3 linked regions of the Medicago truncatula genome follow. Each later gene encodes a partner of the first gene's protein in a complex. Links are inferred from orthologs where the notes say so. Each region holds a gene or a part of one and is shown in the gene's direction. Other genes may lie near its edges.

Region 1 (7,852 bases):
ATCATCTCATCATAATATAACAACACATATTTATCATCTCATAATAACTTAAACAACAACGATTAATAAATATTAATACTTCACTTAGTTCTTTATTAACAACTCATTGACAAATGACAACTTAACGACAACGCAACTTCAACTTCTTAATCATGCATGTGGTACCAACCAGGGCATCAAACCCCCAACATATTGAGCGTAAATAGGCTCACAGAGCATCAAGCCCTCACCCAACGTAAATGAGTATGCAATGGACTCAACATCTTAACAACTTAACAACTTAGACATCTCTTATTACTCCAATAATTTGGATCAACATCTTACAACTTAAACAACTTAAATCAACATTAGCATCTTAATGATATTAATATATCACATCAGCAAGGCAACACCATCAAATAATTTACAGCAAGTCAATATCAACAATAATCATCTAATATAACCATTACAACTTCATATCAACATCTTTCACAATATATAAATATTCTCACATTAATCATCAAAGTAAATCATATTCATCACAACAGCAAGACAGCATCATTTAAACATATACAACAAGTAACCATCATTAATAATCTTCATATGTAACATTTGCAACTCCATATCAACAACTTAGACAACATTAACAACTTAATACTCCAATACTTTGGAAACACTTTGGAAAGAAAACTTACAACTTTACAACTTAGACCAACACCTGCATCTTGATCAATATGCAACATCAACAGAAACAGTACAAGCAATTCACAACATGACAATATTAATGAAAAACATCAACAACTTAAACATCATATATTCTCCACATAAGACATATGAACATTTCACATAACCAACAACAGCAACATAGACAACACTTAAACACCTCAAGATATAACAACATCAAATAATAATCAACATCTTAAAACATCATATATGCATATAACACTTCATCAATCATGGACAATATCGTATTCACAACATATACATACATATACTAATTCATCAATCATAAACAACATCATACTCATAAACATATACATTCATATAACACTTCATCAATCATGAACAATATCGTATTCACAAACATATACATACATATACTAATTCATCAATCATATTCAATTATTCACTGTGACCTACGTGCAGTAATTTGACCATAACTCAAGTTCTATAAATCCTTTTCAAGTCAAACCAATGGCATTAGAAAGCTAACATCCATACCTACAACTTTCATGTGTACACCTAAGACCAATTCTGTACCAATCAATACCAGTTTTCATTTCAAATTCGGAAAAAGTTGTGCTGAAATTCATAAAAATTCACTGTGACCTACATGCAGTAATATGACCATAACTCAAGTTCTATAAATTGTTTTGACGTCAGACCAACGGAATTACAAAGCTAACATCCATACCTACAACTTTCGTGTTTACACCTAAGACCAATTCTGGACCTATCAATACCAGATTTCATTTCAAATTCGGGGCAGAGATGAAAAGAAAAATCAGAAAAAGCAACCTATATTATTCAACTTCACTTTCATTCAAAATCATCACAATCATCACTCTTAACCCTAATTCTCAAATACAATTTTCAGAATCATAGACTCAAGATTATTGAATGTTAGTCCCACCCTTACCTTAAGAATTCGATTGCAAGGTTATCTTCTCGTTCCTCCTCTTCTCTAGGTTTTCTCCCTTTTTCTCCAAAAACTGGTTGTACGTGAAAAAACTATTCTGACTTCTCACTTTTCTCTTTTTATAACCTTAACCTACCTATTTTCTCTTAACTCCACTTATTCTCTTAAACTCTTCTAAATTCCCAAATCAGCTCCCAAAGTCTCAATATTCTATTTTAATATATATATATATATATATATATATATATATATATATAAAATACTTCTACACCAAATAACAAATATATTTCTATAACAATTATATTTCTACACTAGATAATATAATATAATATAATATATTTCTACACCAAATAACATATATATTATACTAACAAATAACATAATATCTCTACACCAAATAATATATATTATAATATAATATGCTACTAAAACACCAACCTATAACACAAAAATAACACACATTATCATAAATCAAATAAATTATTCAAAAAGACTCTAAACTCAATAAAATAATCAAATAAAACAAATAATTCAAAGAGGGCGTTACAACGTGCACGAAAGAAGGTAAAAACGCCTTGAGATAGTGGATAATTAATGGCCTTGGGAGACATAAAATCTTGGAAATCTTGTGAAGAAAGGAACAACGATGGTAAAAATAGGGAGTTTCGAAGGGTAGAACATGAAGAGTTCGATCAACGACAAGTGGCGCCTTAGGGAAATAAATAGACTTATAGGTTGTCCAAGTGAAAAGACGTGGCCCACTTAAATCCTAAAACGATCAAAGGAAAAGAAACTGAAAATCATGTTTGGAGGGTAATTAATGAGTGGGATGATGTCATCTTTTCAAGGTAACTTGTGTAATTAAAAAATGTCAATATTCTCCTACTTGATGAGGTTCGTCGAAAATGGCATTTTTCGGGGGCATCCTGTTAGCCTGTAATTTCGACAGGGTCATTTAATGTGGTCAACATTTAGTTGACTTTTAACTTTGCAGGAATCGAAGGCTTTTTCATTTTAATTTGAGGATTTCGACAAAATAGCAAGCCTAACGCGCATGGTCAAGAGTTCGTCTGAGGAATGCTAAAAGCGTAATTGCATCGAAGTCAAGCAATCAAGGCGGGAAAGATACAATTTCAAGCTCAAAGGCGGTTTCCTTAGTGGAAACTTGGGGACAAGAGGTTGTCCAAGATGGAGGAAGTGTTGATCATGAGATCAGTCTTTTGCCAGTTATTTTCTTTATGTATAAATAAGAGTTTCCTAGTCGGAAAATGGGTCGCAAATCATTTATAGAAATTCTACAACATTAAAACTACCGACGCATAGGAAAACGAGTTATACATAATGTATGTAAACTTATTCGTAGACAATTTTACTTTTAATGCAATGCATTTTACATTTTCTTTTAAGTTTATGTGTTTAAACTTTTACCCTTTCCTTTAATTTTATCTTGCTTTCACTTGCAATCTCAAAACTGTCGAAAGACAGTGCCCTTTTTACTCTAAAATCCGTCTTGCTCTCTAAGTAACCTGAGTGCATTTTGTGGCCTTTTCAAACCGTTTTCGATCAAAACCTTTGAACATCATGTCCTGAGATTTCTTGTAATAATCAGAATTAACCTGTAGTTTGCCGAAAACACCGGTAAACAGATAGATAGAAGCAAAAGTTGGATGATTTGCATTCAGCCACCATAAAGATTAGAGTTTAATTTTCTCTAGAAGATGAAGAAAACCTATTTTGTTTAAACACTCTTGAATTTCTTTTTTGCTAAATGATCCAAATACAGAAAAGTCAAATCAAATTAAGGAACAAAAAAAATATTTTTTTAGTAGTCACAAATTCATACAAATTGAAGTAAATGATCCGAGATATAAACGGATGAATCGTAATTAAACATATTCAATTATAAATATCAAACCAAATTTTTCTGCAAAACTCAAAAATAAAAAAAATAATAAAGTTGAATCTCGTGAGCATTGCTCAGTTGGTAGAACAATGCATTATTATATGCATGGATCGGGATTCGAACCTCGGACACACTATTTACTCACCTTATAAGGTGAATTCTAACTACTAGACTACCAGACAAAAAAATTGATGTCCTCCTCCATGTCACATCCGCCTGCACAAAAATAGTATTTAGCCAAAACACCATTCACTTATACAATGGTAGTCTATTTTGTAGTTATAGTTTATCCTCATTATTTTTCCCTCAAAAAATTTATCCTCATTATTTTGTAGTCATACTAAAATAATCAACATCAATAATCCACCCAATATTATAAATAAATTAAATAAGAACCACACAAGCATAATTTGCATTGTCAATTTTATAAGAAAATATGAACCACCCGCACAATTTTGTTTAGGACAAGGACAACCATCTGTGTAAACTAATTTACACTAATGTTTAACAAAAATAAATATCAAATATTAAATAACATTAGTTTGTTCCAACTATGAATCTCTTTTAAACTTAATTTATTTTTCATAAAAAATCAATTTATGTATAAAATGTGAATGTTCATTTTAGTCCTTGAGAAAATTCAAAAGATCCAATTTAGTTTCTTAGAAAAATAAAAGTAACTTTAGTCATTGATAAAAACTAAATCGGGACAAAGTTAATATTTAACCTCTTTACACTTTGTTTTGGTTGATAAGAAAATGATAGAAGAAAGAAAATAAATCCAAGAAGATATTGTTAATAATTTGGTATGAAAGAAAGATAGAAAAAACCAAATTATAAATACAAATTATTTTTCACATGACTAAATTAAGTCTCGTGAATTTTTGAAAAACTAAAATGGGCTTTCAATAAAAAAAGTTAAAAATAAATTAGAATATACACACTCTCTTACTAGAACAATGAGCATCATTTACACGCCCTAAATTTCTAATAGCATAATTTTTCTTGAAGGATAATAGCATTTATTTTTATTTTTTCACCACTACATCAAAACTTTGGAATTAAACCTCGATTTTTTTTGTCTAGTTGTGTAGTGGTTGAAGTTCACATATTATAAATGTGAAGGAGTGCGGTGTATGAGATTCAAAGTCCAGCTTCTGCATATATTATATATTTGTCCCTATGAACTGAGTTAAGTTGACGAGACGAATTAAAACTTAATTTATTAGTGCAATAATACAATAAAAAATTGTTTTTTTTTTTTGTAATAATAAAAAATGAAAAATAAGTATTAGTATATGCCAAAAAGAAAGAAGAAGAGAAGAAATCACGCGGCATTTGTAAGACGATAGGGCACATCACATTCTTATCTCCTCAAAATTCATTTCATTTTCATATCACCATCGCAAAACGAATAGATAACCACCTAAATGTCCTGCTTTCACCACCACACTCTCTTCCCAAACATGGCTTCATGTACAACAACAACTTCATCATCATCTCTTATGCTAACACACCCCTCTTCTTCTATTCTCACCCCCCAAGATCTTTCTCCTTCTTCTCTCCGTTCTTTTCCCAGAACCTTCTTTCTCTCTCCCCTCGTTTTGAAGCCTTCTAAGTCGGTTAATCTAACCTACCAGTCCAGGTCTTCGATTTTACTTTCTTCCGCTGTCGCCGCTGATGTTGCTGAAACTGTTGATGAAGATGAGAAAGATGACGTTGATGATGTTGCTGAAACTGTGACTGTTGTTACTACTAAGCCTAAGAAAGGGAAAGCTGCATTACTTCTCAAGAGTGATAGGGTAATCTTCTTCAAATTCTATTGTTTTCTTGATGGGTTTTTGTTGAATTTTATTAACTACAATTGGGGTTCTGGTTTTGTGGATTATTAGTGTATTATTAGTATTTATTTATTAAGGGAATTAATTGTGTTGGTGGCTATGACCATAAGAAGCGTAGCCACGAACATCTGACACGATATTGACACGTCGACATAGAATTTAACTAATGTAAGTTCAGTGTTAGACAGTGGCACGTGTCGGATACTCCCTCCGGTCCTTATTATAAGAAACTTTTGATTTTTTAGATTCATTGAGTAATTAATGTATCTTGTTGTAAATATAGACTAGATACATCACTTACATAATGAACCTAAAAAGTCAATCCTTTCTTATAATAAGGACCGGAGGGAGTATCAGTCACGCCGTCAATCAGAAGTATGGGTGCTATAGAGATTGTACTACAATTACGAACAAAAAATTGGTATTTGAATACCAATTTGTTTTACTTTGGTGAATTGGTTTTCACCAATTTTCTAGATAATTTGTTAAAAGCGTAGAACTGAGTTATCTTATATGGTTTAAAGAGATCCGGATTCAGTGACTTATCTATTAACTTTCTCTCATAACACACAATTACACCGAAGTCACCTTGAATTACCGGCCTTAAAGTCACTGAATCCGGATCCAGTTTAAAGTAAGACAAAAGACAGTGAGTGTTTATGACAGTAGAAGAGTCAAAGGAAGATGTGTTGAATCTCTTTTCTCATTGCGATCGGCAGTGGAATGATTGGAAATTCTTTTAGAACCAGTGAATTTAGGAAGATGAAGGGGTTCATCGTTCACGTGGGAGACTTGGAAAAATTGTTCTGAAGGATAGTTGAAGAAATTGTATGCTTGTTGTTGTGATATTATTTGAAAGACTATAAAGATATGCAGTCACCATATTTTACGGCAGGCAATTTATAACTATTAATTTGATAAAAGAAGTAAACAAAAGTAGTAGCAGCATTTTATACTGAACCCAAATGTACCGATTATACCCCCCAATGTAACCAATACATGGTAGGCAGCAACCGTATACCCGTACCACGTACCAAAGAGAATTAAAAATCACGTGACTATGGTTTTCACACATATTATCTAGGATGTGTTCAGCCAAGAGGTGAGGGAACTCTATCCACAAATTGTTATATCACTGGTGAGGGTATCAATTGAGTCAGTAGCTTTAGATGGAGGACATTTACCACTTATACCTAACCTTGTAGCTGTGTTGTGGGTATTGGACTATTAGTTGATGCTAATTATGGGTGCTATATTTTGGCAATTGTCTATATCATTTTTCACGTAAACATGAAATAACCGTAGTTGTACCTAAGAATTTTCACGTAAACAGGAAATAACTGTAGTTTTACCTGGGAAGTTAATCATGTATCGCCATCTTGTAACATTACAAACAAGCTTTAAGAAATAATAGAATGATATAAGATAGTGAGAAATTGTTGGACAATCCTCTTCAGTAGCTAATGACTACAAATGGATGAATACATAACTGTATATCTTAATTTCATGTTTTGTGCTCATTGCTCATTTGGTTAGCACAAGCTGCTCCATCTGTTGAATAACTGTAATAGAATGATATTTTAAAATAAACTTGCTTAGTGACTAACATCTTATGTAGGTGAGAACTCCTAAAAAGTGGTGATGAAGAAAAATAAAAACTCACTGTTCACGTATTTATGTTATAGGAGCTTCAGAGGATATAAATAATTTCATAAAATATACACGGTTACATACTCATTTACTTTTAGTTGAGCCATATTTATAGCCAGACTTTCTTTTTGGTGGAAATAAATTGTTCTATATAACTTCATTTAGCTTCCAATATCTTCTGAAATTTAGCATGAGTGAAGGTGAGAGATGCATATAAACAGTAGTTACTGTGCTATTTGTCCTACCATTATATGCAGTATTTTTGCTTGGTTGGTCTTTATGTTCCAGCATATTTGATTGCCTACTTGGATAGCGATGGTGTAAATGTTATAAGATAGCCATTTGTTTCTTTCTAAGATCAAGTTGATTGTTTGGATCATTGAATTTTTCATGTTTGGAAAATGTTTCCCATTTATTTTATGAATAATTGTTGTTTTCACTTTCCATGTTTCACCAGGTGAGATCTAAGAGATTCTTGGAAATTCAAAAATTGAGGGAGTTTAAGAAAGAATATGACTTGAAGACAGCAATTTCTTTGGTAAAAGAAACAGCTAAAACCAAGTTTGTAGAAACAGTAGAAGCCCATTTCCGCCTCAACATTGACCCTAAATATAATGATCAACAGTTAAGAGCTACAGTGAGTCTCCTGCCATTCGTTTGATTCTAGTATATACATGCACATTGAAAACTATACAATACATCTGCTAATTCCGAGTCTTTCATCCATCTTCTCTTAATAGGTAAGTCTGCCGAAGGGAACTGGAAAACCCATAAAAATAGCCGTTCTTACTCAAGGTGATTATGCTTTCGATTCGCATTTACACTTCTAGTTAATTAAAA
Region 2 (6,072 bases), about 47 Mb from region 1:
TCACAAACAAAAGATTTATAACCAGTGAATTTCTCCCAACATTTTAACATACGAACCGGTTTTGGCCCCCAATTTGCATCATCAACACACAACATGAGAGGACAATGATCTGACAAACCTCTCGACGTAGCCATCTGAAAACAATTAGGCCACGACAAACTCCAATTTTCTGACAGCAAGAACCTATCAATCTGACTCATCGACCTCCCATCACCTCGATACCAAGTGAACCTACGACCCCGAAGCGGTAAATCTATAAGGCCGTTATCATCAATCATAGCATTAAAACTTGCACTACCAGCATAGTTCACAGCGTTGCCCACTCTTCTTCGTTCCTCGGGACATCGAACCGCATTAAAGTCTCCACACACACAAACATTCTCGTCCAACAGCGACGTCAAACGAGCTGAAATATTTTGCCAAAGAGATTGTTGTCGGTTAACATCACACGGGGCATACACATTTAGAATAGTAAACTTGTCACCCGTCTTCACAAACTGGCCTTGAATTCCTAACACATGATCAAAATTAAACGAAGACCACACCACAACCTCTTCACAATTCCAAAGAGTTATTAAACCTCCTGAAGCCCCACTCGAAGGTTGATAAGAAAAATCAACACGGTTATCAGTCCATAGGCCTTTACACACAAAATCATTTACAACAGATAATTTAGATTCTTGTAAACATAAGATAAACGGATTTTTCTCCCTCACCAAGTTACTCACTTCCCTTCTCTTTTCAAACCCACCCAAGCCCCTAACATTCCAAGGAATAATCTTCATTAACACTACCCACTCCACAACACCACAAACACCCTTACCTCCTCATCCCAACCCTCGGCCTTACCTCTCTCCACCATCAACCTCTTTATTTTTTCTTCCAACACCTGACAACACATCAAACCTATTTTGAATATCCCCTTGAAAATTCACCCCCACTAACTTTCCCATCCCCCTAACATCATCCGATAAAGCCTTGCTATTACCATGAAGTACTAACCAACTCGACCAGTCGTAATTAACAGATGACTGTGAATCATTAACAGAAGAGCTAACCGGCGAATTTACCTTATTAACATGAGTATCTGACACCACCTTATGTCTCCTTTTCTTCTTGCGCAAGGCACGCAAAACAACCTTACGGTCTTCCTCTGATAACCTCGCAATACGCTTCAAATTCATTGCACAGTGCCGAAAAGAACTATTACCCTTCTTTCTCGTGACTTTAATAGCACTAGAAGTCTGTTTGTTAAAGTCTAAAATTTCAACAGGTGCTGCATCTCCAATCACCAACTCCTTATGTTGACGTGCCCATTCCCAACTCCACGGACCTGCCGATACAGTATGGACCCGACTAGGAGGACATGACATGAAGACGTACGATGCTTCTTCCTCTTAGCACCACTACAAGAAATTCGATCCAAATCAGCTCGTGCGATATCATCCTCCAAAACAACCTTGTTGTTAGCTTGTTGTAAAGGAACTGTTTGAGCTGCGCAAGGATTTTGAGAGGAAACCTCCGTAACACCCTTCGACACCTCTTTAGTACCCACCACCGGACTCTCAACAAGTGAAGGAAAATCGTTAATAGGAATAACCTTATGAACCTGAAGGTCCTGCTGCTCCTTCTGCCATTCCTCTGATAGATGCTTCATCAAATTATCAACCTCACCATCAACATGTAAATCCCCAATATTTCTCTCATCCTCCATATCCTCCTCTTCTTTAACCTCCTCATCCTCCGATAAGCAAGCATCTTCACCCAACGAAAACCCTCCCTCCTCCACAATTTTAAGTTCATAAATAGCTCCATCTATCATCACCTTTGCATCTGAAATAACTAAATCCACAGAAGGCGTAGAAATAAGAACCCGAGCATAATCAAACCGGATTTTTTCCAGAGTGGAATCATCCAATTTCAACAAACGACCATAGTCAAAGACACAAAGTTTGAAAAAATCCAAGTTCCACGCTTGTAACGGCACCCCATAGATCCTCACCCAAGCTCCTCTTTCGCGAACCACCATATCTTTCCTCCAGTTCATAATATTAGAAAAAAAATTTGCAAAAAATTCCGATGCTTCAGCCAACAATAAGTTAACATCACTATCATCTTCAGTTCTCAATAAGACCTTATCAGCTCCCAAAGGAATTATGTCTAAATTCTCAAAGCCCGCATCAAAAATACGTCGCTGCAACACAGGGATCGCATCTCCATTCAAAACCGTAGCAACCATCCCCTACTAGCCCATAAAACATCCTGATCCTTGGAGGTATATTTAGGAATGTGGATCTTCGCAGCCTCTCCCACAACCACCTTCGCACCAACCGGTTCTCTCACATTCACCCTCTTCTCCACCCTTGCCTCAGCTTCTTCTCTACTAACCACCCCTCCTCTCGCAGCTACATCTCCCTCAAGCCCCTTACTCCTCCCTTCACCTTGAGCCTCTCCGTCAACAACCTTCCTTCCCCCCAGCTCTCTTTTTTCTCCCTCTAATTCTTTATCTCCCTCATTAATTTTTTCTCCCTCTCCCCTAACACTGCCTTCACCCCTACCACCTCCATTCCTACCAAAACTCGCCACCTTAGCCACCACCTTCCAATCTCCAAACCAGACATTGTTCAAAGCCTTCAAGAGCTTCTCTACATCCTTCACTTTGCCATAACGAACAAAACCAAACGCACCACCATTAACATTACGTTTACGTGCCAAGTAAACATCCTCCAATATACCACATACCTCAAAACCTTGTCTCAATGAAACATATGATATATCAAGAGGAATATTTGTAAAATAGAAAGAAACAACATTCTGGTTCACCTGCACTTTCTTCGCCTGTTCCTGAATACTCACAGCTAAACGTTGTTTCTCATCACGTGCCTGCACATTAACTGAACCAGGATCGTTCCTCACAGCCTTGTTGTTGTTTCTCATAACATGGATTTTATTCTTGACTCAATGAAGGTGATGAATTATTTACAGAAAGGAAGCAATGTTATTACTGAGTTTGATAAAATCATGTATGAATGTAGACATCATTGTAATTTTGCTTTTAAAAACTCTCTTGTCGAGTTTAGTCGGAGAAAAACCAATCAAATCGCTCATGCCTTGGCACTGTGTATTTGTGAATTAAAATCTAATGAAATACTACAAACATTTCCTTAAAAAAAAAAAACTTGTTGGAAATACGTTCAATTAATTAGTCATTTTCTTTGAGGATTAAAAATCTGTTAATGTAATTATTAATGTTTTTGGTGTTAACATCTCGTTTTAAGGAAAAACGAGTCATTCAAATATAGTTCGACCAGAGGTAAGTAAAATATGATCGAAAATTATTACAACTAAAAATCAAACTCAAATTCTGCTAAATAATTACAATCACAATTAACTAGACTAAGTCAAGCATAATTGCAATTTTGGTGAAATACACATAACAAAAATGCAATAAGTCTACAAATGATTCTTAAACTCTAATAATTTATAATAAAATTCACAATTACCAACAAGTTTAGAGACCTTTGCACAAATTATTTTAAAATATACAAGCTCAATTACACATTATTTAGAAAAGAGTCATGCTAACTCTTCGTGTCTTAAGGATACAAGTTAAAAAGCTAAAAAGAGAATTAAAATATAACTTTTGTATTGAAAAGATAAAATTTAAGATTTTTATACATTGAATGCACAATTTTCAAGAAAATATTTCTATGTTTAGTTTCTAAACTTATGTCTCAAGAGCATAAGTTAACATTTCCTTTTAAAAAATTAAGTACTCAACTAAAACCTTGTTCATAAATCTAACTATAAATTATTTACTAATTTATTAACCTAATTATAATTTTATTTAGTTTAGAAACCAATTTCAAAATTATTGAATAGTTTTTTTTTTTTTGGTGGCCGGGTTTTGAATCCTAGATCTTGCATATATTATGCATTGTTCATACCAACCGAGCTAAGATCACGAAAATAAATTATTGAATAGTTAATAGACTTCTAAAGTATTTAAAAAATAAATCCATACCAACTAAGCTTAGGTCACGAAGACAAGTTATTGAATACTACCTCCGTCCCTAATTATAGGACCCTTTTAAAAAAATAACGGGAATTAAGAGAGTGAATATTTTTATTAAATATGTTTGTAATTACTATTATTTTTACAATTTTATCTTTTAAGAGAGTGTTGATTTATGTTTTCAACATGTTATTTATTGTTGATTGAAAAAAAATGTATAATAAATAAGGGCATGTATGTAAAGAAATAATTAATGTAGTTGGAAATAGAAAATGAGTCTTATAAAAAGGGACAATTTTTTTTTCTTTCAAAACGGTCTTATAATTAGGGACGGAGGTAGTAATTAATATTATTGAGTAGTTAATACAAGTATTTAAAAAATAAGTAAAGTTGAAAAAATAAAATAAATTTGAAACCCATTGCAAAGTACCATATTGCCCCCATTGTGATTGATGAAAAACCAAAGAAACAAAGGGATAAGATAAGCCAATATGAATCAAACCAACCCTTTTATCCCATTTTCAGTTTTCTTCATCTTCCATTTCCATCATCACCATGGAAGCTACTGCAACTCTACTCAGCTTCTCTCTTCCATCCACCAAAACCCAATCTTTTCAAATCCTAACCCGACCCATTAACCCATTCAACCCACCCACATCATACAAACATAGACCCATTTCCAAAACCCACCGTTTATCCATCAACGCCGCAATTTCACGCACAAAGAAAGAAGAAACAGTTGAAACCGTAAAAGAACAACTTGAAAACTGTTACCTCCTCGCCGGAATCAACTACAAAGGCTTCACCGTAAAACAATTTCAAGAACTTCGAAAAACTCTTCCTGAAACAACGAAACTCGTTGTTGCGAAGAACACGTTGGTTTATAAAGCACTTGAAGGAACACAATGGGAGACGTTGAAGCCATGTATGACAGGTATGAATGTGTGGTTGTTTGTTCATACTGAAGAGATTCCCTCTGCTATTAAGCCTTATAGAGATTTTCAGAAAGAGAAGAAGCTTGAAGAAAATGATTTTACTGGTGCTGTTTTTGAAGGGAAATTTTATGGTCCTGATGAGTTTAAGAAACTTGAAACATTGCCGACACGTGGCGAGATTTATGCTAATTTGTTGGGTTCATTGAAAAGTCCTTCTTCTGCTTTGGTTACTACCATTCAAGCTCCTGCTAGAGAACTTATTATGGTTCTTAAGGCACATATTAAGAAGCTTGAAGAACAGGAACAGGGTAGTGCTGTTCTATAGATAAGTTTTTTCAATCTTGTTTGTGTATTTGTTTTATGATTTTATAATTATGTTACAATGTGGATTTTGTTTTATTGTATTTGAGCATGTTTATTTATGTTTATGTTCCCTCAGATTATGTGTACAATACAAGTGTACATTTGATGCTTTGAGCTTGTTGTATCAGAAAATGTAGAATGATGCAATTATTTTTTCTCTTAGGATACTGATGATGGATAATTTGTTCCAATTGAATGATGCAATTTCACTAATTATTGGTTATTGTATTTGAGTATGTTTGTTTATGTTCCTTCAGATTATGTGTACAACTGTGCATTTGATGCTTTGAGCTTGTTGTATCAGAAATTGTCGAATGGTTCAATATTTTTTTCTGTTAGTGTAGAGATGATTGATGGATAATTTTGTTCCCATTGAATGATGCAATTTCACTAATTATTGGTTATTATGTGCATGTACCATTTTGATGTTGTGTTTTTTCCCTTTGTTTATTTGAGTGTTATATTTTGGAGACTTCGTTCAACTTGAAGTGTTTGTCATTTATACCGAGTCTCAGAATTTGGGTTGGGATTAACTTAAGCCTTACAAAACCAACTTTTCGGTCATATTTTATCCAACGTAGAACTCTTAACATGTATTACCTTATGTAACAATACCACACATTCACTCAATTGGATTAATATTTAGTGCGGTAAGTTGGATTGGAAAATCAACTGAAACTGTGAGTTTCATGGCTTAATCTTCATTCAATTGAACTTCTTGACTTACTGCAATGACTATGTCATTTTAGCATTACAGAA
Region 3 (7,462 bases), on another chromosome or scaffold:
CTGAATCCCATTCTGATTGAGAATCACCGTCTCTATCTGAACGTCCAGAAGAGCGAGAATCCCATTTTCCATGGGTTCCCCGCGAAAAGTTATTCATATCCCCTCTGGTTGGAGGGGATGAACTGTATTCATTACGTCTGAAACTATGTGTTGACAGAGCACCGGTACTTCTCTGTCTATCCAGTGAAGCGTCTTCAAATTCACTGTTTTCCATACAAAAAAAGGCATAACACATAAGTGAAAGAGCATAAATTGACTATATATATATATATATATATATATATATATATATATATATATATATATATATATATAATAAGGAAAAATTAAATGCAGCGGTCCACCGATATAGCATACTATACCTTAAAAGTGACCGATCAAACCCACTTGGAAACTCTTTGCAAATATCCAATCCACTAAACGATAGCAAAAACTCTCTTGTGTATGAAATTTTCAACTTCCTGAACAACCACCAACAAATAGGTGTTATAACATGCATCAAATTTCAAATTAAAACATTGTAAAAAATAAATACAACAAGCTAATCAAACAAGATAGAAGGTTACTTTTGCAATCCACTATCAGTTGCTTGATCCAACAAGCTCTGATCTTCGTTTTCAAAATCCATTGCGTTCCCTCCACACAATACTTGATGCTAAACAAAGTTGTTAACCAATGTCAAATATATCAAATCGATGAACAATGCCGAGTGTTACTGCAATCCTTAAAGAGCCCTAGTCAGCATCAAACATATAATTCATAACATATGCTCAAATTTTGAAATTTTGACCAACTTCAACTCTAAGTCCAACAATCACTGCTTATTCATAATTCAATTCTAAAAGCACTTGTATGAAAATTTCAAAACCTAGAACCAATCCCAGTCACTGATCCAGCTCAATCAACAAGACCCATCATCCAAAACCCTCTAAAGCTTCAACCTTTACGAAAATCTAGCAATAACCACCACCAAAAAAATTGAAAAAACTACTCTCTCCTTCAATGAAATTCCCGAATGAAACGTAAAGATTGGTATATACACAAAACCGTCCTAGAACACAGATTCAAAGGAAATAGAGATTCAATTCAAAAACTTGTGGAATACCCATGAAATTTAGGTCCGAGAAAAATCTAAGGGATGACAAATATTGAGGGTTTGTGCGATAAAAATACAAAATTGAAAAAGGAAAGAAAACTAGGGTTTTGAAATTGTAAAGATTAACGATGCGGATCGAAGGTTAAAGAGAGAATCAATGAAGGGAAAAGCGTGAAATCGAGAATTTGGGGGTGATTTTGCAGAGATGGATCGGGATTGAGGACGAGGGAGTGAGCGAGAAGGGATTTGAAGAGAGAGAAAGTAGAGAGAGATTGTTGCTATTATGGACTTATTATTATCTAGAGCAAGTAGCAATGTAACCTATGGTTTTAAATAATTTGTAAGTTAGATTAGATTAAAAATTCGTATTTATCTAAATCTTAATTCTTAATTTTGATCTAACAGTAAGAAGATAACAATTACTACATTTTAAGTTTCTTTTTAAAAAATAAATTTTAAGTTTTTCTTATTAGGTTTTGAGTTCAAACGCAATTGATATCTTTATATATAAAATTCTTTTGAATATAAGATCGTCTTTATTTTGAATTGAAACATCTTCTATTTACATACACGTTATAATGTTCGATTATATTTTATTTCGTGTATGTATCTTTAATGATTTAATTATCATCATTTAATTCGGATAATACTTTCAACTCTTTTGATTTTTCTTATTAATATAGTGGTCATATTTGTGTAGGCGTTAGATTAATAAATTTATTTAAATATTTTTTTTAGGAGAAAAACTATTTGATATTCTCTTTATATTGGATATATAAAAATTAATCGTTATTCTCTTTTTTACTCAGAATTAATCACTTAAAGCATCTCCAATTGAGGTATTTACGTGTTTCATAGAATGATGAACATTTTTTTATTTTTTTCTCTTTCTTCATCGGAGGAATCGTGATGTAGTAGTGTGGATACCAAAGTAATGGTTGAAATAACTTAAATAAATTACTGTATCATCAAATTCAAAGTTGAGGAAAAAAAAATAAAAGAATTGAGTTTTATAAAAGTTGCTAAATTGAGGAAAATATGCTTGAGTGCATAAGCATGGTGTGACATTGCGAAAGTCACTTTTTTATAACAAAATGATATGTATTCATTCAAATTAACAAAGTACGTCAAATGCAACTACATATTTCACATCGTTAAAAACGTAAATGATAAATCTATGAACAAACTCACAACATTCAAGTTGATTACGTACAATGAAAAAATACCTACAAATAATATGATAAAATATGAAATACTCATGTCTCTATATCACTAATGTTGACATCCAAATCATATTGAATTTGTAACTGATTGATGTCGATCTTTCACTAAGAATCAATCGAACACCACAAAGACAAAAAATCAAGCAATACCGCACAAGACGACAAACAACACAACGCCGCATTGAGACAACGAAATCACGAGAAAAACACAAAAAGAAAAAATGAAATCTATGTAAAAACCACTTATTTAGATTAAGATAAGGAAGAAAAAAAGATTCATAAGGGTGATTTTTAGGCCAAAAAATAACCCAAAACCACCTCCCTCTCTTGAGTGATGGAGAAATAAAACTTACAAAGAAGTCGGAGTTTGTCTCTTAAAAAATTAGAACCGACTAGTTAAAGTTTGCTTATTTCTTCAAATTCCTTACCATTATTTTAAAAGTCATTATAAGTACTCACTATTTAGAACTATATAAAACTATTCTCTCTAAAAATAAAATAAAAACTACATGACAATTCAGATATATAATAGGACAACTAATTATATGTGAAATGAAAGATGATTATAACTCATTTTATTCATTCATGTTTTTTTTAAGGAATTATTCATATATGTTTGTCGATCATTGATAATTTTGTTACTATATTGGAATACACAATTTGGAGAGAGATAGACACATAAAATAGATAGTGGGTTCTACCACTAAGTCACTTAGTCACGATTCAGTAATTTCCTCAACTTTGAATTTTCAACCCTAAACTCATAATTTGTATTGTGTATCGGTGCCTTTGTTTTTTGCATACAACTCCATTCATTTAGTGTGCCCTTTGCACTAGTGTTTATATATAAAGAGAGAGTTATCCATGGATTCCTAAAGCTAAACATTACGACCTTTCCACAAGCTCCAAAGGGTAATTACAACATGAGCTTTCTGATGTGGAGACAACCTCTCAATTAAATCAAATAACATAAATGCAAAGTTGTTGAAATTAAGGAGTAAATCTTGGATGATGTGGTGGACATCGATAAACTCCTAACAACTGATCGCTTTTAGACAAACAAAGAAAATGTGCATTTGACTTTCTGTCAATTGATCGCATGATACACATGAGTCTTCACAAGGAATTCCACGGAAAATGAGGTTTGCTCGAGTGGGCAAGCAATGTTGTGTTGAACACCATAGAAAGGCACAGACACGCGGTGGAATTTACACTTTCCATATAGAGTTCCAACAATTTTCACCTGTAGTAGTAAAGGTAGCGGTGATAAGTTCGAAAAATATGCGATAAGCGGGTTTAACGTGTGTATGAACCATCAGTAGTAGCCTTCCATATGAGCTTGACAACATATTCACAAGTGAAGGAAGACATGGAAAGGATTGATGCAACATCTGAAGGGTTGAACATTGACTGTACCAAAGGAATGTCCGAAGAATTTCACCCGGATTCAACAAATAATTAACGGTAACATCCTCATGGTGCACTAATTGCAAGCTAATCGATTTGCGAGTAGGAAGGTTGTGAATCCAAGGCATACTCCACACATTAATTTGAGAATCATCACTAATCGTCCATCTATGGCCCAAGGTAAGTAAAGGTTTTGTACTCCATATATTGCTCCTTGTATAACTTGGATTATGACCTAGGTTGGCATCCAAAAAATCCCTTCTCGAAAAATATTTAGCTTCCAAGATCCTTGATGGTAAAGAGGTTGACTCGGATAAGAGTTTTTAACTTTGCTTACCAAAAATAGAAAAGTTAAAAGCTTATACGTTCTGGAAGCCTAGACCTCCTAAACTTTTGTGAAGAGTGAGCTTATCCCATCACAACCAATTAATGTCACACCACCCATTCTTTCTAAATCCCTAATGAAAGGAGTTCATCATCCTTTCTATCTCATCACAAAGAGATGTACTATCTTAAAATATTACCTCTGTCCTGAAATAAGTTACTTTATTGAAAATATATGCTATCATTTATCTATAAAAATACATTTTTTATAGTTTTGATTTCTAAGGTTTTTGTTGGTTCCAAATTCCAAGCAATTTTTTTTTCTTTCTTCCTTTTGAGCATTTACAGTTTTATTTTCAACCCCTTATCCATTCTTGTCCCACTCACTTTGCCAAAAAATTTACCCTCAAACACAAGGGCACTTTGTAACACAGTACTTTAACCAACCAACGCTATCCATATCCCTCTCGTAGCGAGCATTGCTCAATCCACAACAATGGCTACAACCCCTTCTCTTCTACACTCTTCTGCCTCTTCCTTTCTCTCTCAATTTCGAGCTTTACCAACTCAATTTTCTTCCTCTTCGTTGTTATGTCATGGAAACAACAGAGTGGTGTCTGTGAAAGCTGATGCTTCTGGTGCTGTTTTGGTTGAGAAATCTGAAGCAGAGACTGTTTATAGACTCAAAACAACTTACAATGACAAAATTGTTCCTTTGCTTATGGAAGAATTCTCTTACACTAATATTCATCAGGTTGGTTTTTCTGAAATTTGGACCTTTTTTTTTTTTTTTTGTAATGGGTATTTGTTTAAATTGTTTGATTTTGTGTTTTTGTTGGGTTTGTGGGTTAAAGTTTGAGTCTTTTTTGGTTTTGGTGTGATGGTTTTTTTTAGATATTTGGATTTAGAATGAAATTATAACTGCATGTATCAATTTAGTCCCTCACATTATTATGGATATTCCAAAATGATATTTGAAAATGCAAATTTTAATCAAATGTGTCCCTCCGTTGATTGGCATTAAGTGTATGTTTGGTTCTGTGTTGACAAGACTTGGTTTTGAGTGATTGATTTTGACTAAAATGGGTTGAAGGTAAAGTGATTTGTGTTTGGATAGATTCGTGTAAGTGAGTTGAACTATATAAGTCTGTGTGTAATCAATTCTAGAATTAAAAGCCACGAATCCTCTCTTTAAGTAGAATCAATTTGGCAGGCGAAAGCAAAACATGTCAGAATTGATTCTACACCTCTAGAATCAATTTTAACTGTATCAATTAAGTCCCTCATATTATAGATATTCCAAAATGAATTTTTGAAAATGCAAAGTTTAATCAATTTTTTCTCTCCGTTGGTATTTGTAGGGACTAGAATGACATTAAGTTGATAAATCGGGGATGAATTTGAAATTAAGTGAATAAGGTCAGAGATACGTTTGATAACATGTCTATAGAGAGGGATGGATTTGTTCAACATATTGCAATTCTAAAGATCATTTAAGAATATTAATAATATGAAGACTAAATTGATAGAACATTAGTAGAACCCTTTAATTTCGAGTACCAACTTGAGTATTTACTCTAAGATTATTTTATCTATCAAATTTTGCAATGCTGAATATTGTTTTTCCCTCTTTTCAGGTGCCTAAAGTTAAGAAGATTGTGGTAAACTGTGGTATTGGAGAAGCTGCACAAAATGCAAAAGGTTTGGATGCAGCAATACTTGATCTAGCACTGATCACTGGGCAGAGACCTGTTAAGACTCGGGCGAGGAATTCCGTTGCCACCTTCAAGATCAGGGAAGGTCAACCACTTGGGATTGCTGTGACACTCAGAGGAAAAGTGAGTACTTCGTATTCAATTGATATTGCCTTGCCTAGTGAATATATTTTGTAAACATGAGATCATTATTTAGTTTAATTGCTTGACATTTTCCCATTTTTGATGCTATTTTGTATTTAGAACAATGTCGGTATCATGAATAATGATATTGTTAGATTCTAGTTAATTTGCTGGTATAGTTAGATGCATTGGTGTAATGAACTCTGATAAGCGCTGAGGTGCTTCAAGGACACCACTCCGAGACATGTGGCTACTGTTTGTTAACTTGTCTAGTATAATGCATCTTTGGATCACATGTAAAGTTTTTGGAGTTGGGAATATTCTTTGTTGACATAATATATGCATTCCAGTAATCAAATATTATTTTTGTAATAGAATATGTTTACATACGAAGCATTATTTTCCACATACCAAAACAAAGCGTGTAAAATTATTCTCTTTTATCATGAGAACGGTACTTCAGAAGTCAAAAGTTTAGTTAGTTTGGATTTTTTTCTTCTGTGTATGTGTTTTTCAACAATTTGTGTTTAAAAAGAGTGCATACCAGGAATTTACTGAATGAGACATTGATAGAGTTTCCATGTTGCCAAAAAAAAAAAGATTATACATGGCAATGTATGTGAATCTGGTTTCATTTTGAACTTCTTCAAATTATAGTATTTTGCATTACTTTAGGCTCATATTCTAACACAAGATTTTAAATATCTGTTAGCGGCTGTGGTTTCTTTGTGATCTTTGAGACTGTAGAAAATTGAGGTCAAACATGGTTGTGGAGACATCACATGAAAAACCTTGATCTTGCGTCCACACCCGCGGTCACGGCCTGTATTTTAAAACCATACAAATATATTATACATGCTTTGCAACTTTCTTTGTTTTTATATAGCTGAACCCAAAATCTAATACCTATTGGTTGATATTTTGACAGATAATGTACTCATTCCTAGACCGTGTTATCAACTTAGGACTTCCTAGGACAAGAGATTTTCAAGGTGTGAATATCAGCAGCTTTGACGGGAATGGAAATTACAACATTGGTATTAAGGACCAAACTGTGTTCCCAGAGCTGAAATCTGGTATTGGTACACCTAGAGGAATGGATATCTGCATCTCAACAACTGCTAAAACTGATCAAGAAGGACAAAAATTATTGGCTCTCATGGGTATGCCCTTCAGAGAGGGAGTTGAAGTTACCCAAATAGTTCGCAAAAAGAAGTTGAAATCTCATCATTTTGATCCAAAATCAAAGGGTAGAGGAGACAGAGCAAAGAAGTAAACTCATTTTTATTCATGCAAGATCAGAGATAATAATGAACTAAGGTTGTAATCAGAAGATAGATTGTGTTGTACCCCTTGTTTCGTTCAGATGTAATGTAATATTATTGATTCTTTTTGTAAAAGATGTGGATGTTTTCATGTTGCCATCAATCACGTTATTATATGGTTGTATGATGATCATGCAGATCTTGCTTGCTTTCTGATTTCTATTGTTTTCTAAATTATTTGGCTAGTTGGACTATTAATATTTTAGGTTCATTTCTCTTCATTTTTCTTCAATTTTCATACTCGGCTAC

The links. The genes of interacting proteins can lie anywhere in the genome.
Region 2: 50S ribosomal protein L1, chloroplastic (region 1) and 50S ribosomal protein L10, chloroplastic share a complex: the UniProt entries of both Arabidopsis thaliana proteins name them as parts of the 50S ribosomal subunit. The link is inferred for Medicago truncatula from reciprocal best matches to the Arabidopsis thaliana genes EMB3126 and EMB3136.
Region 3: 50S ribosomal protein L1, chloroplastic (region 1) and 50S ribosomal protein L5, chloroplastic share a complex: the UniProt entries of both Arabidopsis thaliana proteins name them as parts of the 50S ribosomal subunit. The link is inferred for Medicago truncatula from reciprocal best matches to the Arabidopsis thaliana genes EMB3126 and AT4G01310.

Annotation. Positions count from the first base shown.
Region 1 is NC_053045.1:15,688,065-15,695,916, forward strand, and holds the start of 50S ribosomal protein L1, chloroplastic, read left to right. Parts: upstream 1-4,852; 5' UTR 4,853-4,951; coding exon 4,952-5,323; intron 5,324-7,469; coding exon 7,470-7,649; intron 7,650-7,752; coding exon 7,753-7,807; intron 7,808-7,852. UniProt on the Arabidopsis thaliana protein: This protein binds directly to 23S ribosomal RNA.
Region 2 is NC_053045.1:63,050,823-63,056,894, forward strand, and holds 50S ribosomal protein L10, chloroplastic, read left to right. Parts: upstream 1-4,501; 5' UTR 4,502-4,570; coding exon 4,571-5,275; 3' UTR 5,276-5,546; downstream 5,547-6,072. UniProt on the Arabidopsis thaliana protein: This protein binds directly to 23S ribosomal RNA.
Region 3 is NC_053048.1:36,603,906-36,611,367, reverse strand, and holds 50S ribosomal protein L5, chloroplastic, read left to right. Parts: upstream 1-4,436; 5' UTR 4,437-4,546; coding exon 4,547-4,804; intron 4,805-5,687; coding exon 5,688-5,888; intron 5,889-6,816; coding exon 6,817-7,164; 3' UTR 7,165-7,398; downstream 7,399-7,462. Other genes in the region: uncharacterized protein, read right to left, coding at 1-203, 363-461, 567-628. UniProt on the Arabidopsis thaliana protein: Binds 5S rRNA, forms part of the central protuberance of the 50S subunit.